Linked DNA regions of Neurospora crassa OR74A. The protein of the gene in region 5 interacts with the protein of the main gene of each other region in a pairwise test. Links are inferred from orthologs where the notes say so. Each region holds a gene or a part of one and is shown on either strand. Other genes may lie near its edges. The genes, in order: NCU01022, NCU04485, NCU01367, NCU07058, NCU09437, NCU03018 and NCU07393.

Evidence for each region.
Region 1: the proteins of NCU09437 (region 5) and NCU01022 interact in binary tests that used the Saccharomyces cerevisiae proteins (3 or more experiments, as listed by UniProt). The link is inferred for Neurospora crassa OR74A from reciprocal best matches to the Saccharomyces cerevisiae genes UTP22 and UTP25.
Region 2: the proteins of NCU09437 (region 5) and NCU04485 interact in binary tests that used the Saccharomyces cerevisiae proteins (3 or more experiments, as listed by UniProt). The link is inferred for Neurospora crassa OR74A from reciprocal best matches to the Saccharomyces cerevisiae genes UTP22 and ESF1.
Region 3: the proteins of NCU09437 (region 5) and NCU01367 interact in binary tests that used the Saccharomyces cerevisiae proteins (3 or more experiments, as listed by UniProt). The link is inferred for Neurospora crassa OR74A from reciprocal best matches to the Saccharomyces cerevisiae genes UTP22 and RRP9.
Region 4: the proteins of NCU09437 (region 5) and NCU07058 interact in a two-hybrid assay, tested with the Saccharomyces cerevisiae proteins (2 studies listed by BioGRID). The link is inferred for Neurospora crassa OR74A from reciprocal best matches to the Saccharomyces cerevisiae genes UTP22 and UTP14.
Region 6: the proteins of NCU09437 (region 5) and NCU03018 interact in binary tests that used the Saccharomyces cerevisiae proteins (3 or more experiments, as listed by UniProt). The link is inferred for Neurospora crassa OR74A from reciprocal best matches to the Saccharomyces cerevisiae genes UTP22 and UTP18.
Region 7: the proteins of NCU09437 (region 5) and NCU07393 interact in binary tests that used the Saccharomyces cerevisiae proteins (3 or more experiments, as listed by UniProt). The link is inferred for Neurospora crassa OR74A from reciprocal best matches to the Saccharomyces cerevisiae genes UTP22 and NOP14.

The regions. Positions count from the first base shown.
Region 1 is NC_026505.1:2,701,014-2,705,121, reverse strand, and holds NCU01022 (DUF1253 domain-containing protein), read right to left. Parts: upstream 2,801-4,108; 5' UTR 2,601-2,800; coding exon 2,359-2,600; intron 2,299-2,358; coding exon 1,582-2,298; intron 1,517-1,581; coding exon 220-1,516; 3' UTR 105-219; downstream 1-104. Other genes in the region: NCU01021 (eukaryotic translation initiation factor 3 subunit EifCf), read left to right, coding at 3,436-3,543, 3,779-4,108. UniProt on the Saccharomyces cerevisiae protein: DEAD-box RNA helicase-like protein required for pre-18S rRNA processing, specifically at sites A0, A1, and A2.
Region 2 is NC_026504.1:3,204,119-3,208,289, reverse strand, and holds NCU04485 (pre-rRNA processing protein Esf1), read right to left. Parts: upstream 2,801-4,171; 5' UTR 2,733-2,800; coding exon 570-2,732; 3' UTR 324-569; downstream 1-323. Other genes in the region: NCU04484 (hypothetical protein), read left to right, coding at 1-86. UniProt on the Saccharomyces cerevisiae protein: Involved in the 18S rRNA synthesis. Required for the early cleavages at sites A0, A1 and A2.
Region 3 is NC_026505.1:3,791,120-3,795,095, forward strand, and holds NCU01367 (rRNA processing protein RRP9), read right to left. Parts: upstream 2,801-3,976; 5' UTR 2,614-2,800; coding exon 724-2,613; 3' UTR 408-723; downstream 1-407. Other genes in the region: pcb-4 (proteasome component C11, variant), read left to right, coding at 3,374-3,375, 3,432-3,589, 3,664-3,913. UniProt on the Saccharomyces cerevisiae protein: Involved in nucleolar processing of pre-18S ribosomal RNA. Required for efficient pre-rRNA cleavage at sites A0, A1 and A2, and biosynthesis of 18S rRNA.
Region 4 is NC_026506.1:332,133-336,301, forward strand, and holds the start of NCU07058 (small nucleolar ribonucleoprotein complex subunit Utp14), read right to left. Parts: upstream 2,801-4,169; 5' UTR 2,544-2,800; coding exon 1-2,543. Other genes in the region: NCU07057 (hypothetical protein), read left to right, coding at 3,252-3,440, 3,581-3,703. UniProt on the Saccharomyces cerevisiae protein: Involved in nucleolar processing of pre-18S ribosomal RNA.
Region 5 is NC_026507.1:182,558-186,743, forward strand, and holds the start of NCU09437 (hypothetical protein), read right to left. Parts: upstream 2,801-4,186; 5' UTR 2,716-2,800; coding exon 1-2,715. UniProt on the Saccharomyces cerevisiae protein: Involved in nucleolar processing of pre-18S ribosomal RNA and ribosome assembly.
Region 6 is NC_026501.1:8,426,014-8,430,243, forward strand, and holds NCU03018 (small nucleolar ribonucleoprotein complex subunit), read left to right. Parts: upstream 1-1,430; 5' UTR 1,431-1,716; coding exon 1,717-3,588; 3' UTR 3,589-3,766; downstream 3,767-4,230. Other genes in the region: NCU03019 (hypothetical protein), read left to right, coding at 283-436, 514-797, 861-1,172; NCU03017 (hypothetical protein), read right to left, coding at 3,816-4,205. UniProt on the Saccharomyces cerevisiae protein: Involved in nucleolar processing of pre-18S ribosomal RNA and ribosome assembly.
Region 7 is NC_026501.1:6,086,297-6,090,495, forward strand, and holds the start of NCU07393 (rRNA maturation protein), read left to right. Parts: upstream 1-1,399; 5' UTR 1,400-1,502; coding exon 1,503-1,802; intron 1,803-1,861; coding exon 1,862-2,308; intron 2,309-2,366; coding exon 2,367-4,199. Other genes in the region: NCU07394 (hypothetical protein), read right to left, coding at 1-247, 301-673. UniProt on the Saccharomyces cerevisiae protein: Involved in nucleolar processing of pre-18S ribosomal RNA. Has a role in the nuclear export of 40S pre-ribosomal subunit to the cytoplasm.

The DNA.
Region 1 (4,108 bases), on a different chromosome or scaffold from region 5:
GGACTTGGGAGACTGGCAAACCATATGCCCCGTTCCATAGACTGGTGACTTTCAGGATGTTGTCTTATTGCTCACTAGGTACGTACAGCAGTAGTAGGTATTCTATTTTAACAACTATGCAACCAACTTTTTCAATCCATTATGTAAACCCAATCCCCTTGGCAGTTTTGATTATCCGACGCCTTTATACATACATACCATACGACTGACTGGACCTTTTTACACAAAATCAAAAGTATCGCCCTGCTCCGTAATCATCTTGCCCGCCCTCTTGGTCCCCACGATCCTCTCCAGCTTCATAATATCATACTTGCTGAACATGACCTTGACGTGCCCCTGCCCGTGCTCTAGCATCAGCGCCTGCTCGCTCTTCTGCAGGTACCCGCCCGCAATCTCCCTGTAGAAGATGGGGTTATCCGGCAAGCCATAAAAGATGACGCGCTTGACGCCCTTGATGGCGTACCGCCTAAAGTGGTGGGCGCGCTCCGTGTACAGCAGCACGCGGTGGCGGCCCGTCAGGAAATGCGAGCGCGCGCGCGACGCTTCGGGTGTGTCGGCGTACTCGGAGATGTTGCCGAACGTGACGCTCTCGACGGCCGGGTTATTGGCAAAGTAGTTGCGCACCCGCACAAAGTCGAGGTACGAGGGGATGAAGATGAGCGTTCCCGCCGCGTCCTTGGCGGCCCGCTTGACCAGCGTCGGCACGATGGCCTTGGTGAAGTAGGCGAAGCGGGCGTCCGGGTCGGCAGCAATGGAGGCCGCATCGAACCGGCTAAAGGTCTGGCGCGTCTTGACGCCCAGGTACTGGATCACGCCTGGGTATTCGGCTTGCAGCCGGGCTTTGCCTGCCCAGTTGTGGCAGTAAAGACGCTGCAACTCGGCCAGCTCGGGCGTGTTGAAGGCGCTGAAAATCACCGTCTGCCGGAAGTACTTGGCTTGGTCGTCGAGGTACCAGGAGCGCACGCGGGAGAAGTCGCAGCCGTGGGCGTCGCGGGGCTGGAGGTTGAGGTGCTCAAAGATGAACTCGACGTGCTCCCAGTTCTGCATGAGCAGGGCGTCGGCCTGGTCGACAATGACGAGCTCGATGGACGAGAGGAAGTCGTAGTCGAGCTTCTTCTTCTCTTCCTCGGAACCGATGGCCATGCGCAGACCGAGAGGGGAGGCAAAGATGATGTCCGAGTTGTAGAACTGCGAGAAGTACTTGATGGTCTTGCGAGTGAACTTCATACCGAGGCGGAACATGTCGTCGTCGTTGCCGGCGAAGAGGTCGCGGAAGTCTTCGGGTTTGTCGTCAGAGAACTTGGTGGACTTGTCGACATAGCCATCGTCGAAACGCTTGCGGTTTTCTTGTTGCTCAGGAGCGGCGACCTTGCAGATCATTTCGACCATTTTGACGCATGACTGGCGGGTAGGGAGAATCATCAAGACCTTGGGGCGGGTAAAGCCCTGGTCTCTAAGCTCAAGGGTGTCGTCTCTTTGCAACTTGGTGTTGTTCTTGATTACACGGTCACGAGTCCTGAGTAGGTATCAAAGTCAGCTCTCTGTTTACTCTTTTTTTTTTCGTGTTCCCATCAGACTTACTTGAAAACATGGTTGAGCGCATGCAGACACGCCATCCGCCTTATGCTCTCAGACGATGCCACTGACCGGTTGCAGTAAAGCATGTCTTGATAGTTGAAGAGAAGAGGTGCTACTGCCTTCTCAGCTTCGTCGAACTCGGTGTGCTTAGCCATCGATTCGGCTAATCGTTGCTTGAGCTTAAGATCGCCAACTCCAGAAATGGAATGGGGAAGTTTCTGCTCAGCTGAGTCGCCTGTCTCTGGGGTGTTGTAGTATATCCTGTTGGAGTTTTTTGCTATCCTGTCGGTCCTCCACTTGTTCGCCTGAATAGCCTTTATCCTAGCCTGAAATGTCGCCTCGTCTGGGGCAGTAAAGTGAGTTTCGAAGGGGTCTGAGTCGTCGAGGTCGTCATCTTCGTCGAACAGGTCCTCTAATGGTGCATCCTGGGGATCTTCCTCTGGCTCGTCAACTGCATCCACGTCCTCCGTCACCTTCTCATTGTCTTCGTCGTCGCTGTTATCGTCGTCTTTCGTCTTGGTAACTTTGTTCGGACCTTCCTCCTCCGGGTGATCCAACTTCCTCTTTTTCGTCTTGGTTGCACTCTGGAAGCTCTTCAGAAGACTCATGTATGGCTGACCAGACTGGGCATCCTCCTCCTCATCCTCCTCTTCTGATTCCTCAATCTCATCCTCAGAAACATTGGATTCCTCTTCAGAGATGTCCTCTTCCTCATCTTCCCTGTTTCAGTCAGTATGCTTTCCAGTTCTTTTCTGCCCTTGAGTGTTGAAATTTTCTTACTCTTCGTCCTTGTCGGCAAGTCGGGCGTCGTTGAACTTGGATGAGCGAGGGCCGAAACCTCCTCTGGCACCACCCCTCGAACTTCCCCTGCCGCGCCCTCTCGAAGCTCCTCTGGCGCCTCCTCTGGAGCCCCCTCCCCTGGATCCTCCTCTGCCTCTGAAACCTCCTGCACCACCTCTTCCACGACCTCCTCCTCCTCTTCCTCCTCCTCCACGGTCACCACCGCGACCTCGAATTGCCATTTTGATGCGGTAAGAGTTTTCTCAAATTATGAGATGTGAGGTTGGTGATATGACAATTGGTGATTGATGTGTGAAATCAGATTCAACAAAGGTGAAAAAAACGATACGGAAATTGTATTCAGCCTTGTCAACGAGCCAAGAAGAAAAAGTCCAAAAGTCCAATGGAATCTTGAAGGAAGGGCTTGGCAAAGAGCAGCCTTGTAACGCCACCCCTCCCCCTTGACCCTTGCGAACTGAAGAAAGAACAATCTCAAGTCCGCCAAGCTGAACATGGAAGTGTGGAGACCGGCTTATCTTATCTTAGCGCGCACAACACCCAAAGGTCCCGCATTGCGCTGCAAAACCAAAAATTCGAGCAGAGGTACCGCCTACTGGTCCCCATATTTTGCGAAAGCTGGATGGAGTACCTCCCGGTCTAGGGCGAGAGAATGGAAGTTAGTGACTGCCTGTGAACAGTGACGGACCCAACTCGATGGCCGGGCTGCCACCGAGACCTACCCTCACACTGGAGTGCCATTGACATTTGACACCCATTCTCGGCAGTGAAAAAAAGTGTAGTGTACAACCGTAAAAAGTGACTTCTCTTTCTGCCAGTGCCCAGCCCGTGCCCACTCTTCACCAGCGCAAGCCCACCCCACCCCCCGGCCAACCGCTAGCCTCTCTCTCACCCCGAACCCGAAAACAGCGTCTGCTGTCTACATTTTCAAAGAGCCCCATAATCTCAACCTCGACGGCTCCTCCCCTCCTCCTCGAACTCCCGTCCTGCTTCCTCTATCAACCACCACACCACCCCTCCACCATCTCTCACTCAACTACAGCCCAGCCCGTCGTCAAAATGGCTGTCGATCAGGAGTCTTTCGTCCATCTCTCGCGCCCCCTTGCGCCCAATGTGCTTGGCTTCGGTGTCAGCAATGCCCCGCTTACCGTCAACATCCAGCCTCAGGTACGTCAACAGCACCAATTTCCATACTACAGTCCTATATCTGCCCCTCCACTCCTATCTACCTAGTCCCCTACCTTGATGTCCCCCTTTGCGCATGTCAAGCTTACCTACCTACCTACCTACCTATATCCTCTCTGCTACCCCGCCGTCACCACCGCCACTACCACCACTACCATTGCCCAAGACCATACAACACCTAGCTGACATGTAGCCCTTCGCTTTCCTCACCAAATAGGCTGTCTTCTCCATCATCGACCATGCCGTCAGACGTGACGACCGCGACACCCAGTCGACACGGGTGATTGGTGCCCTCGTGGGTGTCCGCAGCGAGGACGGCAGCGAGGTCGAAGTCCGCTCCACCTTCGCCATCCCCCACACCGAGAACGAGGACCAGGTTGAGGTGGACGTCGAGTACCAGAAGAACATGTTGGCCCTGACGCTCAAGGCCAACCCCCGCGAGACCCTGCTGGGTTGGTACACCACCTCGCACGAGCTCAACAGCTTCAGCGCCCTGATCCAGAACTTCTTCGCCTCCCCCGAGACCGGCACCTTCCCCCACCCGGCC
Region 2 (4,171 bases), on a different chromosome or scaffold from region 5:
GAACGAGGGATGATGTGGAGGAGTGGCTGCCGGTGGAGATGGGAGGGGAAGAGGTTCCGGTTGTGGATCTGACGGAGGAACCTTGACGACTGGCCGGAGGTTGAGAATCGCTTGCAAACCTCGAAGGACGATGAAAAGAGGTAGCTATGGATAAGACGAACACAATTGTCGAGGGAAGAATGTCGGAGGCCCAGTGTCTTTCCAGGGGTTTTGCCAGACACACAGAGTTATTTCCTCGGGGAGAGAGATTAAGAAAGGTAAAGGCAAACATCTCGACAACAAAAGCTCCAACTTACATGGCCATGAGGAACTGATGGACCTCGAGTACCACATATTATGGCCGCCATTGTGAAGTGGAAAAGAGTTGCGAGGTAGCTGTACGTGGTTCTGTCCTCATCCACAAAAGGGGACGATCATTAAAGACAAAGGGAGCAACCCTACATGACCTGAATTTAAACCACATTGACCCAAGGACCATTTACAAGACTGGACAGTGGAGGAACGACAGATGGATGTGAACCAACAGAAATCAAAAACTTGCCATTAATATGCTGTTACCCGTGATGCAATCATTTCTTCGCCTTCGCCTTCGCCTTCCTCTTGACAGAGTTGATCAGACCATCGATATCCGCGTCGTCAGTCTTGACCTTCTTGGCGCTCTTCTCACTCTTCTCCGTAACACTGGGTCCATCCTTGCGCTTCTTTCTGCCCTCCTCAAGAAGCTTCTTCATACCCTGAGTAGCCGTGAACTTAGGATTAGAGGGATCAATAGCGAACTCGTGGCTCTCGAAAACGGCCTTGAAACGAGGATCCTCGACGTCCATGGCGAACTCTTCCTGGAGACCATCGTTGCCCTCCACGCCCTTCTTGCCCTTCTTGCCCTTCTTCTTGCCCTTGACCTTCTCGACCTTGGCGATCTGCTTCATGTCGAAGTGATCGAGACGGCCACTGTCACCGTTTTCATCAGCCATAAGCAGCTCCAGCTGTGCCTTCTCGGCGGCGTTGGCAGCCTCCTCAGCTTCCCTCTCAGCCTTCTTCTTGAGCCTCTCCTCTTTGCGAATCGCCGTCTTGGAAGGCACCACAGGCTCAGCAGTGAAGAATGGATCGTCGAAACCGAGATCTTCGCCTTGGTCGCCTTGCTCTTCCTCCTGCTGAGGAGCGGCGTTGGGATCGCGACCTTCCCTCCTAGCAAGCATCTCCTGCCGCTTCCTCTCCTTTCTCTCGCGCTCCTTGCGCTTGTACTTCTCGATGGTCGTCTCCTCCCTATCTTCGTCACCCTTCTTCTTGTCGTTGGCGGATAGTGCTGGCGTGAAGGTGATTTGCATCTCGCCCACCGGAGTATCCTTCTTGGACTTTACCACGGGCTCGTCAGCAAGACCAAGAGCAGCGCGCATCTTGCGCCTGGCAAGCTCCTTCTTGGACAGTGTCTTTTCCTCTTCTGCTTCCTCGGCAGCGGCCCCCTCGGCCTCGAACTGCTCCTTCTCCTCCTCGTCCTCCTCGTCGTCTGAGCTGTCGCTCGCAAGGTAAGCGCGCAAGTCGTTCTCGGCGATATCGTTGCGGCTACCGGTGAAGGCCTTCTTGAGAGCTTCTTTTCTTGAGTAATCTTCGGGGTTCGTATCCCAGGTGAGTTTGACCTTGGAATGCTGGAGAGCATCGGTCACGAACTCCACCGGCTTGTACCCCGCAGGGACGCTGTCGCACTCGTCTCTGGGTTCGTCGTCGAACGTGACATCGTCGGGGACAAATCGCAAGTCGAGGAAGTTGGAAGAAGAAAGATACTCGTTGCCATCCGTCGCCTCGTAGATCTTGTATGCTGTGTTCTTGTCGGAGCAAACCATAACGGCGTAGTAGTAACGTAACCTGTCGAGCTGATAAGTGCGAAGGGCGTCACTGTCAAAGTCCTGGTCGTCTCCTTCCTCAAGAAGCTCCTTCTTGATGGCCTCGTCCGAATCAGAGTCCTCCGAGTCACTGTCGGAATCGGAGTCACTCTTCTTCTTGAAGATCTCCTGGGGAGGACCCTCCAGCTCTTCTCTTTGCATCCTCTGCTTGCCGAACTCGCTAGGGTAGACAGATACCTTCTCGATGCGACCACCTGGGGGCACGAAGCTCGAGAAGAGGGCGAATAGATCGATCGACTTGATATGGTCCCAGTCAATGTTGACGATGGCAACTCTGTTTGTGATCTCGCCTTCCTCAACAGCCTCCTTATCCTTGCGCAAGCGGATACCGGGTCGTGTTTCCGCATCAGCCTCGTCTTCCACCTCTGGCTTTTCGTCTTCGGAATCTGAGGAGTCGGAGTCGGAGTCGTCATCGGATGAAGAAAAACCGCCGCCACGGGCAGGGTCGTATGAGTTGGCAGCCTCGAGTTCGCGCTGAACAATGTCGTCGTCCTCGACCTCGAAGTCGCTCTCGTCTTCCGCTTCGTCCTTCTTTCCCTTGCTGGCCTTCTCTTTGGCCTCGTTGTCTGTGGCGTCCTCGCTCTCATCCTCGTACAGCCGTTCCAAAGCCTTCTTCTTGGTGTCGGTCTTTAGCTTGCGGCCGTACCTGTCGACCTTTGCGACGGCGGTGAACTCTGCATCTTTGAGAACCTTGGAGAAACGCTTGTCGAGCTTGGTCTTTAGGTTCTTTTTTGAGGGCAGCTGGAATCGCGGGTCGGTCTCGAAGTTGGCAAAGCGAGCATCGGTAATCGCAGGAGCGCCATCGCGCTTTTTAGGCTTGTTATCTTTGGGCATGGTGGATGTGGAGATGGTGACTGATGCGATCCAAAATCGAGGATTCGACGGCAGCAAGGAAACTCGCAGATTCGACCCGACATGTGCACAGCACGCAAAGTCCGAGAAAATTTTAGTGGAGCGTTGTTGATTCTGCCAAAGGCGGTCTGCACATGCTAATGTCAAGGTGCCCCACCTAAAACGCCAAGTCCTGTGCTATGGATCAATCCACTTCCCCGCATTGGTGCCCTGGCATGCAGCAAATGGAGCCCGCTAAAAACTCCGTCAAAAGCCAAAGTCCACTGACGCTGTCAGCGCAGGGCTGTTCAACCTCGAAAAACTCCAAAAACGCCATCGTCCTCCAGCAATCCCGTCGATGATTGTCCTCGACCATCCAATCCAACAAATTCGGGTATCAACTTGTCCGTCATTCGGAATCCAACGTATAATCCTGTCATCGCATGCCTCATCGGCCGTCCTTCAACTTATGACCAGAGAACTCCCATTCGACGTCACCCACCCACCGATCGGCCATCCAGTCCTGTCCGCTGTCGCTGTCGCTGGTCATCGAATCTGGACCTTCCACTCGTTAGGACGACTGATATCGCATGAATTGACAGTGTTCGCGGATTGACTACCTACCGAAGATGTTACGCAGGTTTCAGTTCTTTAACTGTTCCCATGCCACATCGTTGCGCCCAACGTAAGGATCCCAACAAGCATCAAGAGCGACAATAGCGTTGTGCAAGCCCTATTCTCTGCCTTGACGTCTTCGTCTTGGTCGGAGGAAATGAGTCGTGAGTAGCTCTCCAGATTCATGGTTTGTATAAGTTGGAAGAACCTGGTCGACAGTGCCGCGTTATCGGATGGGTTGTTAAGGATGTGTCTGGGACGTGGGATCCTGAGATATGAACCGGATGGTTAATGAGGGTTGGATGGCGAGTCCAAAAGATGAAGGGCGTCCGAACAAGACTTATAATTGTTCTTTGGTCCCCATCCGAGAATCAATGGCCCACCACTATTCGTTCCTCACTTCAGGGGCAATCATCATTACACAACTTCCGGACCAAGTCCAAGCTGTTCTTTGTTTGCGCTCAACCAGGAAAGAGATCCTTGGTGATGGTCAGGTGGGGTTACCAAGGCGGGAGTCGAGGCGAATGTCCCTAGGACTGAGCTCCGGAATGCCTCTCCGGGTGTCATCGACTCCGCATGCCTTGCCAACACAACCCCGGAAAACCCTAAATCAGATGTCGATGATGTTCTTGGCATTTTCACAAGCGAGAAGCATCAACAATGCCTGCATCACGTGAGACACCGAGCACGCCTTTCTTCATCAACAGAGTGAACCACAGAGTCCGGATTTGGGTGTTTGTATTCTTCATCCTGCCCAGCTGTTTGGGACGCGACATTGACTCGAAGCCATCAACGACATTCGAGACCTCTGTCAACCACATTCCCGG
Region 3 (3,976 bases), on a different chromosome or scaffold from region 5:
GCATCTGCCCATTTGCATTGCATGGTCTTGAGGCCTCGATGGCTGGTATAGCATGGCTGCGTTGTCTTTTTTGAAGCTCGTTGCTTGATTGTTTTGGAGTTGAAACTCTCGAACTCCCCAAGTCTTGTACATCTTATCATGCAGGCGGAATATTTGGCGGTATTGACGTCCAGCTAGGCCTCGAGGAGTACCTTTGAGTCGGGTGGCCATCTCAGTCTCGAGCTAGATGATGGAGCCTCAACCTTGTGCTGGAGGAAGAAGTAGCGCAGCGTGATCTAACAAACTACCAATCCTCTGTTGATATTTTTTTCCACGGAGAGCACATTACAAGAAGTTTACCATCCCTTTGATGATATATTGGTGAGAGATTCCATAGTATTTTAATGGCTCTGTGTGGCACAACTTAATCGGAAATCTAGTGGAATGGATTCATGACCAGAAACTTTTCAACTCCCTTCAAATGCAGTGAGGCTACCTAAAAGATATAGTGTGGTATGTACAATACTTGCTCTTTCTACTTTCTCCTTCTCCTTTGTCTATGAACAGCTTGGCTGTCGCGAATGCGATATAACGTCCAGAGCACTTTGTAACAAATTTCAACAGGCGATGATTATTTGGCTCTCTTCTTCCTCATTCTCCGCGTTTCTCCCATGTCCCGCTCCGTCAAACGAGGTAGACAAAACAAGACAGAACAAACGTACGTATGGTTCCCATCTTCTTCCTCTATTCCTCCTCTTCTTCCTCCTCATCGCTCTCCTCCCCCTTAGCCCCCGCTCGCCTAGCAACCTTGGGCACCTCGAAGATAGTAGCGCCGTTTCTTCCTTCCTTCATGTACTTCCACCTTCCCAGCCTCATCTCCTTGCCTGTGGCGACCACGATGCAGATGCCGTCGCGACCGCGGTTGCCGCGCTCGAAGATGGCAATGTCATTGATGATACCCCTAATCAGCCCGCTCTCTTGCTTCTTCTTCTTGTCTTGCGACCCATCCACCGAGGCCTCGTCGTCCGCTTGCTCCTCCCCACTGCTTGCGGTTGCAGGTTCCTTCTCCGCCTTTGCCTTCTGCTTTGCTTCCTCCTTCTGCTTCTGGGCCTCGGCCTGGTCAAGCTGCTGCAGCGCCGTGCTGGAACCGAGCACGCCAACAGGCAAAATCTTCTTCTTGTCCTCGCTCAGGCGCCACACGCGCACGAAGCCGTCCCAGGAGCCCGAGAGAATGACGTCCGAGTACGGGATGGTGCGGAGGGCGGTGATGGCGCGGGGCTGCGGGGTGGGCACCACGCTCTCGTCCGGATTCGCGTCGGCAGACACCTCGGTCGGCTTGAGCGGCGGGTCGATGCCGTGCGCACACGGCTGCGTGAACAGCGCCTTCTTGCGGTTGATGCCCCACAGCGAGAGCGTGCCGGCCGAGTCGCCAGTCACAAAGAGCTCGTCGTCGATCATGGCCACCTGGTCCATGGTGCCATCGTGGTTCACCGCCTGGTCCCGGTTCTTATGGGATTTCTTCTCCGACACGCCGCCGCGGAACACGAGCTGCGACTCCTCGGGAACCTTCCAGTAGCGGGCGGTCCGGTCGCGCGCGCCAACGGACACGCAGCGCTCGCCGGCCAGAGCGTCGATGTCGGGGATCTCATCCTGGTGGCCGAAGAGTGTTTCAACGTAGGCGAGCTCGTCGAGCGACCAGACTTTTACTGTCCGGTCCTTGGAGGCAGAAAATATTTGGTTAGTGCCGCGGCGGAAGGCGAGCGAGGTAACGGCGTCGCGGTGCTGGGTGAAGGCCCGGAGGGGCTTGAGGGTCTCGGCGTCATGGACGACCATTCGCTTGTCGGCGCCGCCGGTGACAACAAACTTGCCGTCGGCAGAGGCCCTGACCGTCAGGATGGCCGCGTTGGTGTGTCCCTGGTATGTCTTGTCCTTTGCCTTGATCGGGTTCGCCCTGTTGAAGCACACTCTCTCGGGTTTCTTCTTGGGCGGCGCAGGCGGCTTCTTTGGCTTCTTCTTGGTCGTCTGTGGCCACTGGTTCTTGGGTAGGTCTTGTAGCTTCCACTTGGTAAGGTAGCCGTCTTTCGTGGTGGTGTAAGCGTACGGCGCGCAAACCGAGACTGATGTTACCGTTCCTGAATTCCATCGAAACTGTGTGTGTGCGGCCTTGTCAAAGTCGAGCTTGGAAGCCAACTGGCGGTAAACCTTGCCCTTGGCCTCGGCCACATCCTCCTGAAGACGCTCGGCCAGCAAATCACGGTCAATCTGCTCGGCGTCAAAGGCATACTCGTCCTCCAGTTCCACCTCTTGTCGTGCCTTGTCCAGATATCGCTGTGCCAATCTTAACCGCTTCTCAGCCGCCGTCTCTCCTTCGTGGTCCGACTCCTCTTCTCCTTCCGACCCGTCCTCTCTCTCAATGTGGTCGCCATCGTCACTGTCAATGTCGCTGCCGGATATCGACTCGTCGCGCTCAACGGCTTTCTTGGGGGCTGCGGGACGTGATTTGGCGGCAGGGCCTCTGACCGACGATGACTTGGCAGTCGATTTGCCAGTCGCAACTCGCTTCTGGGGGGCTTCGTTGGCAGAGGCACGCTTCCTCTTCTTTTCCCCAGCGGGTGCTGTGAAAAAGGACGACATGGTGTTGGCAATTGCGGCCCGGGGCGGTCGGTGCAAATGCACTGGAGTCGTCTGGTGGTAGAGAATGACACTGGAATGTGAATTGGGGTCGCGTTCGGCTTCACTTCAACGCTGCTGCATGGCTATCAAAGTTGAAATTTTTGGGATGGCCGTTCGCGCCTAGACACACCCGACCCGATGGACTTCGAAGAAAAAAAAAAGTTGCCCACCCTGCAGGCTTTCTATCGGTGGAGTAGCACGCCGATTCGTCAAGATCTCCTCCACTGGCTTGGCACAATTGAACGAGTCGGAGAAGGGAATCCCCGTGCCGTGCACTCTACCTTATTGCGTCACTAACAGATATAGGGGCTCTGTCACGCGGAACCGAGCTAGCGAGCTGTTAGTAGTCGGCTGGTGGGGAGGCTCTTGCTGTCTCCAAAAGACGTCCCCGGGCCATCCTGGCAGGTTTCATGACGGAGTGGGGCTGTCTCTCTCGCTGTCTGCTTGCCTGCCCAGTGGTTGCAGCTTTCAGCCCTTCTGGGGACTGGAATGGAAAGATGGAAGACGATAGCGGGCACCTGAACAGCCTGGCCCGTGCTTGTCTTGTCAGCTTGCAGGCTGAAGCTCCAGTGCGCGTTCCCCGTCGCCGTCAGTTCAAGCTCCAACTGCCCTGTCCCGCCATAGGTAGGTAACGACGAGAACCGTGCAAGCCAACGCAACTTGCCAAAGCTTACCAAAACAACAGCATATCATCCATTCACTCACATAACAATCAGCCAAAATGTACGTCGCATCGGTCATGTCTTGGAGAGGTGATATCAGAGCTGATCAGCATGTAGGGAGGTTTTACTAGGCATCACGGGCAAGGACTTTACCATCATTGCGGCGTCCAAGGCCGCTATGCGGGGAGCGACCATCCTGAAGGCATCCGACGACAAGACAAGGTCGCTGAACAAGCACACACTGATGGCATTCTCCGGTGAAGCTGGCGACACAGGTACGGCAGCGATATCGTGATGATGGCGCTTTTGAACCAAACCAAGTTAACCAACTGTTTGTTCCCATCGACAGTGCAGTTCGCCGAGTACACCCAAGCCAACGCCCAGCTCTACTCCATGCGCAACGGGACCGACCTTTCCCCTTCTGCCCTTGCCAACTTTGTCCGCGGCGAGCTTGCGACGAGCTTGCGCTCCCGCAAACCCTACAACGTAAACCTCCTTCTCGGAGGTGTCGACCCTATCACCCACAAGCCCAGCCTCTACTGGCTCGACTACCTTGCGTCGTTGGCGAAGGTCCCCTATGCCGCCCACGGCTACGCACAGTATGTGATCTCGACCGATATCTCTGTACCGTCTTTGATGCGTAGGAGTCATGTACAGAATCA
Region 4 (4,169 bases), on a different chromosome or scaffold from region 5:
ATCACCCCCTTGAGCTTGAAATCCTTCCTCTTCTCCTTCTTGACGCCCTCCACCTTGGTGACGAACCGGCCTGTGTGCCTCTTCTTCTCGCGGTTGGAGATGCCCTCGCCTACCCAGCCGCCCCAGCCAGGAAGCGTGTTGTCGATCTCCTTGTCGTCGTCTTCCTTCTCCACTTCGGCCTTTTCGCGGTTAAAGTCGCCTACGACGTCCTCGCCTGCAAAGGCACGCTTGATGAGTTCTTGATCGCGGATGGCGAGGGGGAGATGGATCGTTTCTTCGTCGTCGGAAGAGGAGTCGTCGTGGGTGGTGGTGGCGGGAGCAGAGGACTTCTTGTCCTTGGCTGCTGCGGCGTCCTTGGACTTGGGCTTGGGCTTGGAGGCGAGCATGGCGGCGTTGGAGAGGTCCAACTCGCCGACGGAGACCTTGGCGGCCTTTTTGGTGCTCTTGCGACCTTCTTGGGGAGCCTTGGACCAGGCACCGGCGACGGAGGCGGCGAGGGAAGTGTCCTCGACTTGGGTGGTGGCTGCTTGTTGTGGTGTTACTTGGAGATTGGACATGTCGTTTGTGATGTTCTTCTTCTCCTTCTTCTTCTGAGCAGCCTGCTGGCCGGGGAGTATGATCTCCGTCTTGCCCATACCGAACTGCCTCCGACCGATGTCCGTCTCTTCGACATCGTCAGAGTCGTAGTCGGAATCGAGGTCTCGGCGAATCTGCGCAATCATCTCATCGTTCTCCTTCCTCTTCTGGGCTTCGCCGCGTTGCATGAACTTCATCTGCATCAGCCCCGACTCGACCTCGCCATCCGCGTAGGAAGCAGCGTGCTCGAGCTGTTCCAGCAACCGTTTCTTGTTCTTCTTCTCATCGCCAGACTCGGCAGAGTAATCGTCGGAACCACTGTCTTCAGAATCCTCCTCGCCCTTTCTGCGTCCCTCGATCCGGCGGCGCAGCTCCTCCTTCTGGCGAGCAGCCTCTGTCAACCCAGCGCGGAAGTTGTCGTCCCACACTGCGCGACCGGCCTTCTTGCCGAGCTTGGCCCACTTGCTGTCCCGGTGACGAGTACCGACGCGCTCGAGGGCTCGCCTCCTGTCCAGAGCCTCGCGCTCCTCTTCTGAATCAATCTCTCCCGCCTCAACCATGGCATCATGCATCTCCTGCTCGTCGTGGAGCAGCTCCTTGCGATGAATGCGACGGTACGCCTTGGACTTGATCTTCTTGATGCGCTTCTGGCGGGCCTGCTCGCGCGAGAACAGCTCACGCTCGCGGCGCTTCTGACGGGTGATTTCTTGCATCTCAGCGGCCGAGAGACCCTTGCGAGCGGCAATCTCCTCGACGTTATCCTGGTCCTCCTTCTTGGGCTTGTTAGTGGGTCCCAAGCCGGATTCCTCCATGATGGCCAAGATGGTCTGTTCGAGCTCGGTACCCGCCGTGGCCTTGGTCACGGGAAGGAGTTCTTGACTGTCGAGGCCGGCGTCGTGGGCATTTTGCGCGAGGGGGAAAACCAGGTGATCCGCACGGCGGTTGTGCTTGACTGTGTCGATCCAGCGCTCGAGCGTCTCGGAGGTCTTTTCGTAGGCGGCGGAGCGGAGGAGCTTGTCTTGTTGCCTCTTTGCGAGGGGGATGTCGAGCTTCTTGGATTGCCCAGGCTTGGCGGCCTTTTCCTCCTTGTTCATGAGCTTGAGAGACTTCTTCATGTGGGGGTCCTGGACGCCAAGGAGGCCGAGATCTGAGAGACTGAGTTTGTTTGTTGGTTTCGAGCCTGATTGCTCCTCGTCGTCGTTGTCGTCGCCCGCAAACCCGGAGATCATCTTTTGGAGGTCGTCGAGCTTGGAAGGGTCTTCCATATCGTCGTCACTGTCTTCGCTTTCGCTCGATTCGCTGTCCGCGTCGTCTTCCGATCCTGACTCCTCTTCGCCCTCCTCCTCCTCGCTGCTTTCATACTGATCCAGTGCTGTGGCGAGATCGATGGCGTCGGAACCGAGCGACTCCAAGTCATCGTCCTCATCTTCGTCCTCTTCCTCCTCATCACTGTCGTTTCCACCCTTCTTCGCCTTCTTGCCCTTCTTGTTGGAGCTGCTCCCGCTGAAGGCATAGCCATCGAACTTTTCCTCGTCGCTCTCACCAAAGGCCTCATCAGAGTCGAGTTCGGAATCTTCGTCATCAGCGCCTACACCAACGTGCCACTCCTCGCCATCGCTGTCCTCGCCACCGTCGGAGAAGCCTTCGAAATCGTCGCTGTTTTTGGCCTTCTTCTTTTGTGGCCTGGCGTCCTCGAGATCTTCCTCATCCTCGTCTCCGTCCTCATCGTCTTCGTCGTCGCCATCTCGTTGTCTCTTCTGGGGGCGCTCTTCGGGCTCGTCGAGGTCTCGTGTGCGGACGCCCTTGGCTTTCTTTTGGGGGACTTGTTCGGCGGCAATAGCGAAGGCGTCGAGGACGTTGTTTCTGGATTTCCTATCGGCAGTCTTGTTGTTGACTCTGTGCTTGGGACGCCCTCCGCCGCCCGACTTGGGCATTAGAGGCCTGCCGTGGGCTTGACGGCCGGGCATTTTGCTGGTATTTGAGAATTGACTGATTGGAAGTCGGAAGGTAATTCAGTCAATTAAGTTCGAGGTCGAGCAAGCAAAAATTGGGTGATGAGATTGTCGACGAAGTCCAGTGGTTGGATGGAATGAATCGATGGATGTCAATGTCCAACTTTTGCCTGCACGGGTCCTGGAGGTCGAAGTGGTCAGGTCCCTTCAACGGCAACTCCCACCAAGCCTTCAACTTTCTGCCAGTGAACAAGCTCCCCCGAAACTTTTTCTGCCGCCTCTGTAATCGATAATTTTCGGGCGGTGAGGGCGCAACACCCACCCATTTTGCGGGGCCGCAGCAGGCTACAGGGGTACCTGTTTCTCCCAGCCTCACGTCATTGGCTCAATTGAGCTCCAAACTTCTGAAATGGCTCCACCTCAACCCGGCGCGGCCCCGGACGTCTTTGCGATTTCTCGATTCCAACCCCGTCGCCCGTCGCCCGTTGCCCGTCGCCGTCCGTGTTGTCCAGCGCCAGTCCGAGTCCGAGTCCGAGTCCCGTCTCCGTTCCTGTCGCGTGCGCCGGATCTTCAACACTCTAAAGCGGATCCCGTCTCCGTCCCACTTGCGCCCACCTCAACCACCCTCACCACAGCGAGGTGCTTCCACCACCCAGATCACCGACCACAAAAAGCAATTCTCCGTCGTCGTTGCCCCGCAAAGCGCAATCCTCCTAGCCCACCATGCAGCCCACTCGCATCCTCCAAGGTCTCAAGTACCGCAAGTTGCGCCTGACCACCAAGGACGTCAACAAGGGTTTCTACAAGGGTAACCGCACCGGTTCCATGGGTACGCACACCAGCTACGGTACCTACAAGATCGACTACACCAAGGTCCGCACCTATGTGTGCCCGGACCTGACCGGTTTCAAGGTGGGTGGTCCTCTATTTCCGTCCGGGTTTGGGGTTGGAATGGGATGTGTTGGGGGATCTGGTGCTAGGGGAGGGACCGAGAATGGAGGACAAAAGAGAATAAAAAAGAATTATGCTAACAAGATCCAACAACAACAAAGCTCACCCCCTTCGTCTCCAAGACCATCCGCCCCGTCCACGACCAGTTCCCCGGCGACAAGCTCGGCCCCAAGAACCCCGCCACTTACCTTGCTCGCTGGAAGTCGGAGAACGGTCTCGACTAAACGGTCGTCATTTTTTCAAGGAGGGAGGAGGAGGACATTACGATACCAGACCACGGCGAGGAAATGGAGCGAGGCTCACTCAACTATCAAACTACCAAACGCAATATATACCCAAGTTCTGATTACATTCCGAAAGCCTGCCGACACAGACCCGTTCGAAGGACCACGAGCCACTCTCCACTGTACATTATATGACCTGACCACCAGGAATCAACCACCTAGCAGCTCCACTGTTCTGGGTCATATGTGAAATTGGAACATGTCCAGGTTCTCTGCCTTTGGAGTCGCCACGCTGCTACCTAGGCTGATGGTCTCGACATTCCTACCATTGAGATACAGCCTGATAGCTAACCATACGTATTCAAAGAACACTCGCCTTCAGAGCTGCCTACGATACATCTCCCCTTTCGGATTGGTTCTTTGAATTTTGATGTCACGATGATCTCGCCGTCACATTTCTTTTCTT
Region 5 (4,186 bases):
GTTCATGAGCGGATCGATCTTGCGCCAGGCTTCGAGACGGGTGGCGATGGCGGAGCGTTCGGACGATGGCATGTCGCTGTTGGTGTCGACGATGAGCGGCTCGGAGCGCCAGTCCCATCTGCTGACGAAGAGGAGGGCGCGGAGAAGGCCGACGGAAGGGGAGGAGGGTGCGTCCCAGGGGTAGGGGCTCAAGAAAGTCTGGAGGGCGACGAGTTCAATGAAGTCGGGGGTGAAGTGGGAGGCGAGTTTGTGTGAGGAGAACCAGTGTTTGAGCAGGCGGACGGTGGGCGAGAAGGCGGGGAAGCGGGTGGCGAAGGTGTTGATGGATTGAGTGTGCAGAGGGAGGTGGTAGTAGAGTCTGCGGAAGTTGGAGAGGAGCACGGAGGCTTGGTGGCGGTGGTGTTGGTCGATGGTCTTGTCGTGCGATTGGCGCGTGAGGAGGGCCTCTTCGAGGTCAGAGTGGATGCGCAGGCGGAAGGCAGGACCGGACTCGTAGACGATGTCGAGGTAGGCGAGGTTCTCGAGTTCCGTGTTGGTGGTGGTAGAGGACTCGAGACCGACGTAAGAGCGGACCTCGCCGGGCTTGGAACGCTCCAGGAGGTCGCCGATCATGCGCAGGAAGGCGATCTTGGTGCGTTGGATGGCCACGATGGATTCGGGCCACTTGCCGGAGGCTTCAAAGGAGATGACGCATTCCAGGGGGCGTGGGCCGGATTTGTTGACGGTCGAGAAGGGCACCTTGACGGAGGCGTGTCGCAGTTCGGGGCAGATGGGGGCTATTTGCCTGACGTGCAGCGGCATGTCGTCCAAGTCGCGGATATCCTTCTCGAAGGAGGAAAAGGCCTTGCGAGCGGCGTTGAAGACGGAGGTGTCGGTCGGCTTGATAGGAATCAACTCGGTGAAGCCATCGCCGTGGAAGGTGAGCTCGTCCTCGAGGTAGCCAACGCGAAGATGGAGCTTGAGGATGTAGCGCATAATTTCCTCGCAGAGGTCAAAGGGGGAGGTGGACGACCAGATCAAGGTCTCCCTGATAGAATCACCCTCGAACCGACGAAGTTCCGATTTCTCACCCCAGAACCGCTGGAACTTGGCGCATTCCTCCTTCTCCTCGTTGCTAGGTCCAGCGGCCGGACCGCGGTCGACAGAGCGGGTCATGTTGGCGGCATTGAAGAGGACACCAATCTCGATTGTGTGGTTCTGCTTGGTGGAGGGTTTCTTGGTGAGATCCCAGGATGAGCTCTTGGGTAGTTGAATGTGAATCGACCGAGCCCTTTCACCTAGTTCTTCGTCCTGAAGAGCCCGCTTGAGAACCCTGTGCACCTTGTCGCTGTATTCCCATAGCCGTCCCCGGCAGTCAATCGGTTCTGTCTTGTCCTGCTTTCCATCGTAGTTGAGGTGGGCAATGAGGTCGTAGTTTTGCCAGGGGAGGTCGGCCTTGAGGATGAAGGTAGGGGTAAACTGGTCGGCAGTGCTGTCGTTGAGAAGGCTCCTTGTCCACTTGGCGTGTTGGTGTAGCTTGGCCGCAGACCAGTTGCTCATCTTGAAGGCAACGTTCAAACCACGAACAGCGTCGAAGAGAACCGGACCAGTGGTTTCGGACTCGACGGTGGCAGTTCCCAAAACACACGGCTTCTCGGACAGGTTAGTAACAGACAAGAACTGGACCATGGCCTTGAACAACTGGGTGGCGCTCAGGGATGTAGACAAGGGCGCATGTCCCTTGGTGCTGTCGCCGCTTTGGAGCAGAAGGGCCAAAAGTACCGCCCATTCAAAGTGACCAAAACCACCGTCCGCCATATCGCTTCCCAGTCCTCGTTGTTGCAACCACACCCGACCCAGGATGCAAGCCTTCTTGAACGCGGCGCATTTCTTTTCGGTTTGTCGCAAGAGCTTCAAGTAGGGAAAGAAGCAGGACTCGGAAACAATCGTCGAGTTGTAGAAGGGCGTAGGCTTGGTCGCGGCCTTGGACTCGTCACCGCCAGCTTTGCGCACGAGGGTAGCGCCCAAGTGAAGCTTTGATTTGGGGAAGAAGTTGTCTGGGGCGCAAGGGATGATGCGCACTCTGTAGTCCAGCTGGCCCTCCTTTTTTTCTCCTTCCACCTTTGGTTTCAACGACAAAATGGGGGACAGGGTGTTCCCATTCAGGTATTCGTATGAAAGCTCTCCATCATCAGCCAGGTCCTTTTGTAGGGCAGCAGCCACAACACCGAGGAAGTAGGCTCTCTTGTAAAAGTATCGCAGGTCGAGGTAGTCCTTCTCTTGCAGAGTCTCGCCGGGGATCACAACCACCATATCCACAGCATGGCTCTTTTGGGCCTTGATCATGGTCTTGGACACATAGCTGCCGACAACGTTGAACTGGGAAGGCTTTGCGAAGGCGACCTTGTAGTTGGACTTGTCGGACGGGCGCGGCTCGGGGAACGGGATCGGGATCTTGTGTTTCTTTTCGAGTTTGGTGGCAGCCTCGGCGATCTGGAGGGCATCGTGGGCTTCGATGGCTTCGATGGAGCCCTTGATCTTGTGGAGGAGGGAGTCGACGCCTTCGAGGGCCGTGGCATAGTCGAGCTTCACTTCGTCGACGAGTTCTTCGGCTTCGAGGATGAATGCGCGGCCACGCGAGAGACCCGAGGAGGCAGCGGCGTCGATGTTGCCAACTGCGCTTTCACCGCCGCGTGAATGGCCAATCTTGCGTCGTTTTGCTGATCCGGGTTCCATTGTATGTGTGGCGGTGGTATAGGTATATGATGGTGATGGTGGAGGAGGATGTCCTGGGAATGGAGACAGGAAATTGATAGTGACAAGACACTGAGAGAGAGAGCACTGAAAGCCAAACAACAGTGGACCGAGCGTCGTCCCTCCAATTGAAGTTCTGCAAATTCGAGTCTCGTTCAAGTTTGCGACGGGAATTCCCAAATTTTTTGAGACTCTGGAGCTCCGATAAGAGATAAGAGGTCAATCCACAAACAGGGGCAGTGGAAGACCCGACAGGGGCAGTCGGGTGGGGCAATGTTGGTTGGTTGCCCCTGTGGGGTTCAACTGACAGACAGTGAGCGCCCGGCCCTTATCTCAGAATCAGACCCTCTTTTTTAGGCATGGGCGGCCTGCGGCCGCTGGGAAAGTGCGCTGCGCGCACATCTGGCCCGTGCGCTGCGCGCCCGGGGTTCTCAAAAAAAATAATAAATTGAAAGTTACTAAAGTTTCTAAATTGTGATCCGTGTACCCATTCTTTTAGTATACTTTCCGGTATTGAATAAGAACGCCTAAAAAAGAGGTTTGAATTCCCAATTAGACTAGAAGCGGATAGGGGAATTTATATTGATAAACTTCTAAGAAAGATAATATAGCGTTAAAATAAAACAATAGATTTAGGTTATACAAAAGATATGAGGAGAAAGAGTTCGTTGAGACGGATTTAATGGTATTATTAATTTTTTTCTACGACTATTGAAAGTATTAATTATTATAGAAAATGTAAAAACTTTACGTAAGTCCGTATATTCAATGCCTAGTTAGCTATATATTACAGTACGGCTTTTTATCCCAATACTATAAAACTTTGTAGGTATAGATATTATACGACTATTAATATAGTAGTATAGTTTTCTTTACTCTATAGTACGTTATTTTTTTTCCTTAATTTTTTCTATCCTCTATAGGTATTAATACTATAGATCCTAATTTCGATCCCTCCGTTGACCCCTAGCGTATATTGCGGGTAATAAAAGATATTATTAGTAATAGTAAAGACCCTCGAAAAGGCTAGGTTAAGGCGGTAGTACGGTTGGCGTACGAATAGAAGGATATAATATTAGTCGCAGTAATGGGCTACGGAAAAAGTATTGTCCTATATATATTTTTAGCTTTATATAATAAAATTACAATATAGATTATACTGTTAATTAAGTTTGGAGAAAGTTAATATAATAATATTATTACTAAAGTGCTAGATTTAAAGCTAGTATAGGTAAATAAAGATGTGACTTTAAAAGTAAGTATTCTGCCCTTTTTTACGAATCTTAAGTACCTTTATTAATTTATATATAGAACTGGGATATTTGGGACTAAATTTAATGCGGCGATTATACTTATATTCTATTGAGCCCGGAACTTACGATAAGTACGAAATTTAAGGCTGTATTGCGGTCCCTAGAATTCTATAAACGGATTAGTCTTTTCGCTATCGATA
Region 6 (4,230 bases), on a different chromosome or scaffold from region 5:
ATGTCACGGTGCAATTTCAATCTCACGGCAGTATCTTGGAAGCTTTCTGATTTCCTTATTACATACTTGTGCTTCCCTTTCCCATCTCTTATCTTCTCTCCTTTTCGAAAACGTCAATCTGAAGATCTTTTCATCCATACGTTAGGTTAGTTAGCTGTCTGTCTTATCCAGGATACGCCCAGTTGCTGTCCGGTCTACTCCTTGACAAGTGCATTTTTCTTTTAGCTCCCTTCGCATTCCAAGGACTTGACCCGCCGAGATCGTTGAATCACATTGCTGAGAATGACACAATCATTGTCTCTCGCTGTGTTTGCAGCTGCGGCACTTTTTGCGACTAAGGGTCTTGCGAGCAACTTTACCGTTAGCAATGGCCAGATTTTCACCCCTGGTTTTGTTATCGTCGATTCCCCCCAGCCGGACACGCCTCTTGGCGGAGGTTAGTACTATTAGTACCCGGCTGGCTGTCGGCAAAGGACTTGAGGACTTGCTACTAATAAGCTTCAACTTGTGTAGACAATGTCGAGATTGCGCTCGATGTTTCTGCCAATGGCAAGCTTCCTCTACCGCCCTACGGCGACGACGCTTCCAGCCAAATCTACAACATCAACATCTTCCTTTACAGCTACGTAACGGGCCGAAACTTGACCATCACCAACGGTACTGCGTCGGCCAACAATGCCACACTCGGTGATATCATGCTCTCCGAGCCTGGTAGCACCGTGAAGCATGTCCGGTGGACATGGCCCGACTGCATGGTTGGCGATGGTACGAATGGGAACGATCGTGGCAGTTACAATGTGGGTTTTCCAAATAGTCAGCTTAAGAGTGTGTTGATAGCCATTTCACTGACAATTCAAAAGATCTCCATCCACCAACGCTTCAGACTCAATGGCGAGAACCACTACACGATATTTGATCTTCCCGTCTCTGTGACCAACAGCATCAGCAAAAGCGACGACCGCCCGTCTTGCCAATCACTTGATAACCCGTTACTGGCGCCCGAGGACATCGATTGGACAGACACTAACGAACTCGGCGCCCTCTTTGCTCCTGGTGATTCGACGGTTATTGAGACGTCGAATGTTGGTAGTGGTGCTGGGCTGGCGAGCTGCAAGCATGCACTTAACTTGTTGTGTGTGGTGGGCATTAGCTGTGCTCTGTTGTTAAGCTAGGCTCTAGACTTGCTTGTCGTCCAATAATCAAAAAGGTGGCTGTGAGATGACATAGAATCATCTGCAAGGATACCAAAACACCACGTACTCTTCATGCATATGTTCTTTTTGAAATCATATATTTGCTCTGCGTGGCTCATAATTTTAGTACTAGTTCGTGTCTGGTCAGATTTATTGTCTTCGAATGAGTTCACATAAAGTCATCTTCATCACAAAGATATTGTTAATGAAAGTAGCATTGAGGCATCAGATAAGTTTAATATATGTTTATTTTTTTACTTTTTTTTTTGTAGGGGTACTTCAAACTTATTCCTTGAACAAGGCTGGCGTGCTTGTGATAGCAAGTGGGTCCAGATTAAGTGGGACAGGATCTGCGATCTGCAAGGCTGATAACGAAAAAAAAAGTTCCCAACCTCAAAACAAACCAAACACTAGCGACTGGTCGTGGCATTTCCGTCCATTTCAACTCCATTTAACCAGGACCGGATCTCACAGCAAAAGTTCCCGTTACTGGGCTTTGCGCAATCTCCTAAATCAGAACAAAATGGCGCCACAGACGAAAGACGAAGTTTCCGACGACAACGAATTCGTCGGATTCGACGAGGAGAGCGATGAGGAGATGCACGACAATGATGGCATGTCAGTAGACGACGACGACGAGGACGACTCCGATATGGATTCAATTGCCGACCCGAGGAAAAAGTACGATATTGAAGAGAAGGACTCTGACGAAGAAGACCTCGAACGATTCGTCTTGGGCAATAACGACACCTTCCGCGCCCAGCTTTTCCGCGACGATTTCCTCGCCGATATTACCGATTCCAAGGCTCTCATTAGGACCGACAAGCAAGATGACACGACTGGCCTCGAACATGTCGACGATAACGCCCTCTTCGCGTTCGATACTGGCGTTCCCGGTAATAAGAAGCAGACAGAGGCCGCGCCCTCTGCGCTAGAGGCTTACGAGCAGAAGGAGGACCCCCCAGCGTGGGAGGACAGCGATGACGAGCGGTTGACAGTATCCCTTGCGGCTGCCTCGCGGTTGCGCAAGCTGCGTCAGTCCGAAGAGGAGGATGTCGTGAACGGCACCGAGTACGCGCGCCGCCTGCGCTCGCAGTACCTCCGACTATACCCCCTTCCGGAGTGGGCCAAGGAATCCTCGGCCGCCAGCCAGCGCCGGAGGAGAAGATCTTCAGCCGCCGGTTCCTCCTCCGAGGAAGACAGTGACGCCGAAGACGACATCGAATCCGCCCTCCCTCTCGAGACCTTCCTCCGCGACGTCAACTCTTTCAACGCCAGCGCCGATGCCCGTGGCAGCAAGCGCCGCAAGCTGCGCCCCGAGACCATCGACATTCAGCGCTCGCGCGACATCCCCGACATTCACAAGCAGTCCGTCAGCTCGTTGTCCTTCCACCCCAAGCACCCCATCCTGCTCTCGTGCAGCGTCTCCTCCATCATGTACCTACACCAAGTTGACCCGACCGCGCACCCGGTTCCGAACCCGGCCCTCACGTCGGTGCAAGTCAAGCGCACCGACCTTCGGCGCTCCGAGTTCCTCGGTCCCGATGGCGACGACGTCATCTTCGCCGGTCGCCGGCGCTACTTCCACAGCTGGAACCTCTCGTCGGGTGCCGTCAAGAAGATCACCCAGATCCAGGGCCACCAGCGCGAGCAGCGTACCATGGAGCACTTCCGTCCCTCGCCCTGCGGACGCTACCTGGGGCTCATCGCCTCCGAGAAGAAGGGCGGCGGCATGATCAACATCGTCAACGTGCGCACGATGCAGTGGATTGCGCAGGCGCGCACCAATGGCCGCGGCGGCATCTCCGATTTCGCCTGGTGGGGCAACGGCAACGGCCTCTCCATCCTCGGCAAGAACGGCCAGGTCACTGAGTGGAGCATGCTCAGCCGGCGCACGGTCGGCGTTTGGCGCGACGAAGGATCGATCGGCGGCACGGTGATTGCGCTGGGCGGGCAGAAGGGCACCGGCCCTAGCCAGATTGGTGGCGATCGCTGGGTGGCTGTGGGCTCGAATAGCGGCATTATGAACATTTACGATCGGAATGATTTGGTTGAGCCTGTTAAGAAGGAGGGTGGTGCGTCGGCGTCCAAGGAGGAGACAGTGCAGATTAAGAGCATCCCCACCCCGCAGAGGACGTTTGAGCAGCTCACGACGCCCATCTCAGTGGTGACGTTCGCGCCGGACGGTCAGCTATTGGCGTTTGGTAGCTTCCACAAGAAGGACGCGTTAAGGCTGGTGCACTTGCCTAGCTGCACCGTTTACAGGAACTGGCCTACGGAGCAAACGCCTTTGGGTAGGATCACTGCTGTGGCGTTTAGCCACCAGAATGGTGGTGATGTGTTGGCGGTGGGCAATGATGTGGGCAAGATTAGGATGTGGGAGATTAGGAGCTAGATCTGCGCATTGTGTAGTGCGTTGAGTTGGCGATAAAATAGTGCGGAGTATAAACTAGTGGTAATCTAAGGGTTTGAAGGTTTTGGGCCATGAAATTCTGTCCAGCTCGTCTAAAAGGTTTCAGCAAGTGTCAGCCCTATGGCAACGATATGTATTCCCATGCTTCTCCTTGTACGCATGACATGCATCAAACCACGTCTTCAGAGGCATCAGTATCCCCTCAATCCTCAGGTGCTTCCAGTTTCCGTTTGCTTTACCTCCTTCTCCCTTTGCGACTTCTCCTTTCCCTTCAACTTCGCCTCCTTCTTCTTCCCCAGCCTTTCCTCTCTTTTACTCTGCAACTTTTCCTCCAAATCCGGATCGAAAATGTGCTTGAGCATCGCGTGCTCCGGCTGATCTTCGATGACCTTATTCCTGGGGTAAATCTTGCGATGCCCTATTGAATACTTTGAGAGCGCCTGAGGTGTTGTGAATCGCTGCGGCCTTGACTCCCCCCCGGCCTGAATGATTCTATCGGTTTCAAGGACATCATAGATGTTGACGTGTACGGCTTTAATGGCCTGGTGAGGGCGAAAAGAAATGGGTATCAGTAATGGCCGGTTCCCCGGTAGTGTGGCCTAGAGCGAGAAGGGACCAAAGAAG
Region 7 (4,199 bases), on a different chromosome or scaffold from region 5:
TCAGTCCTGCCCCAATTTTGCCTGGATAGCCAACGCTCAACGAACTTGGAGCGGATCAGCATCTCTGGCCCGTAATGATCGACCAGCTGCTCAAGAAAGATGAAGCACATTTTTTCGGTGATATCCCTCAATGGATAATCGTCCCATCCATCATTCTCGAGAACCTCCTGCTCCGGGTCGAGGGAGAGCTCGAGGCACCGGACTATGGCGGAGTATGCTTTCCAAGTGTGAAGCATGGGGAGAACTCCTTGAAGCCGTGTTAGTGAGTTGGAAACTTTCAAGCAGTGTTGAGATACTCACGAGGGACGCAGATGACAGCCAGAGCCCTCAAGTTCTTGACACGCTCGTCATAATCTGGACGGGTGATGCCCCAGAGCAACGTCTCCAGGAGGCCGGGGTCATTTGCAGCCCTATCACAGATTATCTTGGCAGCCGTCTCCTTGATGGCGTAGTTGTAGTGGCCCAGCAAGGTGTCCAGCGTCTTGAGCTCGAGCGAGTCCTCGGTCTGCTGCGTGATGTACTGCGTCTTTGGCGGATTGGGGGTGACAATGGTCTCGTCTCGCCATCTTGTTAGCCAGGTGTTCATGGCGAAGATGATCAAGCTCGCCGTGACGAAGCCAATGCCGGTGAAGACGACCCTCTCATCTCGGAGAACCGACGATTGCCAGCCCATAATAACGGTATGGTGATGAAAGATGATGCTTCAGCATAGGTAGTTTGACTTTTATGTGTTGTTTTCTTTTTCTTTTCATCACATCGCGACTTTGAGATTGAGACGGAACACTGAAAAAAACCAAAAATAAAAAAATAAAAAAACCATGAGCAGCCCGAGGATGACGATGGAGAGCTTCACTTCTGGTCAGTGGAGTGACACCCGCTGTAGAGCGGGACAGTCTATCCAGGTCCCAAATTTCCCACCCTAAGCATTTAGTCAAGCATGTATCCCAAGACCTTTGTACTTAACAATACATTCAACTTTTTGGATCCTCCACCAAGAAAATTGGGAATTCTTTTATCTTTGCAAGTCAAATACTGCTGGGAAACTCCTTTTCGCAACTCAGCTGGCCCAAAAGGGGGCTTTTTGGGTGAAATGCTGCATCCTGGGTTGCAGAGCACATTTGGTCGAGTGACATGTCTTGAGAACAAAAGAAGTCTGTGCACTTCCTTAAAAGGGTAAGTTTTTGGGACCTGGATAGCATCGCCCGTAGAGCTTCGTCTTTTAGCAGCTACAGTGCAGCACGGGCAGGCCAGGATGCTTCTGCTGCCCGCGCCTGTGGACAATACTACTTGTATGTAGGTAGGTAACTGCCAAGATTTTAGAGGTGGAGCATGACGATAAGATAAGCACCCTTCATCACCAAAATTTCTGAGAAGGAACCAACCGCCAAAGACAACCTATTGATTGCTGGTCTTGCGATCGAACCCGCTTCGCGACGCCCTCCCTCCCTCTTTCTTTCTCAATACTCCCCTGTCAAGTCGACAGTCGAGACATCTCAACAAACATGGCCGGGTCTCAGCTCAAGAGGCTGAAGGCCTCCCTCAAGGACCAAGGCATCATCGGTCCCCAGAGATCCAAGAAGCAAAAGCGCCAAAACGCCCAGGACGCGAAGGCTTCCACCGACAAGCGACTCCAGCGCCACGAAGCTCTCGCCAGCATCAGAGAGCAGTTCAACCCCTTCCAGTTCAAGACCAACGCCAGAGGACCCAAGTTCGAGGTCACCACCAACAAGCCCCAAAATGATAAACTCGCCAAGGGCATTCAGGGCCGCCCCGGCGTTGCGAAGGCCACCGCTGAGCAGAGGGTTTGTCGATCCCACTCAGATCGATTTACTGGTTCTGATGCTAACTGTGCCATAAACAGCGACGGGAAACTCTACTGGTTGAAATGCAGAGGCGCAACAAGGTCGGCGGCATTGTCGATAGGCGTTTTGGCGAGGACGACCCCAACATGACCCTGGAGGACAAGATGATGGAACGTTTCGCGCGCGAGCAGATGAAGAGCCACAAGAAGAACACCGTCTTCGATTTGGAGGGTTCCGATGACGAGCAAGAACAGGTCACCCTTACACACGCTGGCAAGACTCTCTTTGACGACGACGACATTGAGGCGGGTCGTGACGATTTTGACGAGGACGTTTCCGATATGGAATCCGACGATGAGCGGTCAGCCAGAAAGAAGTTCCTCAAGCGCCTGCGCGCTGAGGAAGAGGCCGCGGAAGGTGAAGGAGAGGATGGACAACCGGAGAGGAAGAAGACGAAGAAGGAAGTTATGGAGGAGGTTATCGCCAAGTCAAAGGCCTTCAAATACGTAAGGGGCACCGCTAAGCCGGCTACTTCCACTCATCAGCTAACAGTAATTGCTACAGGAACGACAAGCAGCCAAGGAGGAGGACGACGATCTAAGAGTGGAACTTGACAAGGAACTCCCAGAATTGCAGTCCCTACTCTTCCAGATGAGACCGAAGGAAACGAAGGACCCCAAGGGCCCCTCCGTTATGGCAGGAATCGACATGGACCAACTTGAGAAGGAATACAACATGCGTCTCAAGCAGGCAGCGCGTGAAGCCAGGGCCGAGGTTACCGACAGGACAAAGACCGACGAGGAGAAGGCGGAGGAAGGAGTTAAGCGTCTCAAAGAGATGGAGGAAAAGCGACTCAGGCGCATGCGGGGTGAGATCGTCTCGGATGACGAGGAGGAGGAGGAGGAGGAGCAGAAGAAGGGCAGGAAGAAGGGAGACGACCAAGAGGTACAAGACGAGGCCGACGAGGACGAATTCGGCCTCGGCAAGGGTATCAAGCTACGAATGACCGCCACCGAGATGGGTCTGGACGACGAAGACGATTTCTTGCTCGAAGACGACCTTATCGCAAGCGGCTCTGAGTTGGATATGGACGAGGACGACATGTCGGACATGGACGGGAGTGATGACGAGGATGCCTATGATCCTGATGAGGACGAGCTTGTGAATGGTGGTGAGGACGGCGAGTCGAAGGAGGTGGCCACAAAACTTCAAGCTCAGTCAAAAGGCGGCGACGAGGACGGCATACCCTATACCTTTACATGTCCCGAGAGTCACGAGCAGCTGCTGGAGATCTTGGGCAGCCTTCCCGTGGCCAAACTTCCAGTGGCTGTCCAGAGGATCAGAGCTCTTTACCACCCCAAGCTGGACGCGAAGAACAAGGAGCGCCTTGGAAACTTCTCCCGGGCCCTCATCGAGCATATCGCTTACCTTGGCGACAACTTCGAGCCCACCTGGTTCCCTACCATTGAGAACTTGATCCGCCACGTCCACTCACTCGCGAAGACCTTCCCGATCGAGATATCCAAGGCTTACAGGTCACGGCTTGAGGAGATTAAGGAGGATCGGCCCCTTGCCCTTAGCGTCGGCGACCTTATGCTTCTGACAGCGATTGGCACAACCTACCCTACTTCTGATCACTTCCATCAGGTGGTCACCCCTGCGATGCTTTCCATCACCCGTTATTTGGGACAGAAAATTCCCCAGACACTCGCCGACTACTCCATTGGTGCTTACCTTTCGATCCTCGCCCTTCAGTACCAATCCTTCTCCAAGCGTTACGTACCAGAATTTGTCAACTTCTGCCTCAACACTCTCTGCTCGCTCGCTGCTGAGAAGCCCAAGGAAAAGCTTGGTCTGTTCCCCGTTCACGAGCCCGCTGCTGGCATCCGTGTCAAGGGTGCAAGCAAGGTGACCGTCAGGAAGCTCAACTGCGGTGACTGCCAGCAGCCCAAGAGCGCTCGCTCCACCAGCGACGACTCCGCTCTGAAGGTTGCCATTATCAGCACCATCACCTCCGTTCTCAGGACTGCTTCCGAAACATGGTGCAAACTCCCCGCATTCTACGAGACCTTCCAGCCCGCCCAGCGCGTGCTCCAACACCTGACAACCAAGTCCAACGCCGCCCAGCTCCCTGCAGCCCTCGTCAAGCAGCTTAAGGACGCAACGACAAGCATCTCCCGCCTCCTCCAGCTCGCCCAGGTTTCCCGCAGGCCACTCGAGCTGCACCACCACAAGCCGCTCGCCATTAAGACGTACGTGCCCAAGTTTGAGGATTCGTTTGACCCCAACAAGCACTACGACCCAGACCGCGAGCGCGCCGAGCTGGCCAAGCTGCGGGCCGAACACAAGAAGGAGCGCAAGGGCGCACTCAGGGAGCTCCGCAAGGACGCGGCCTTC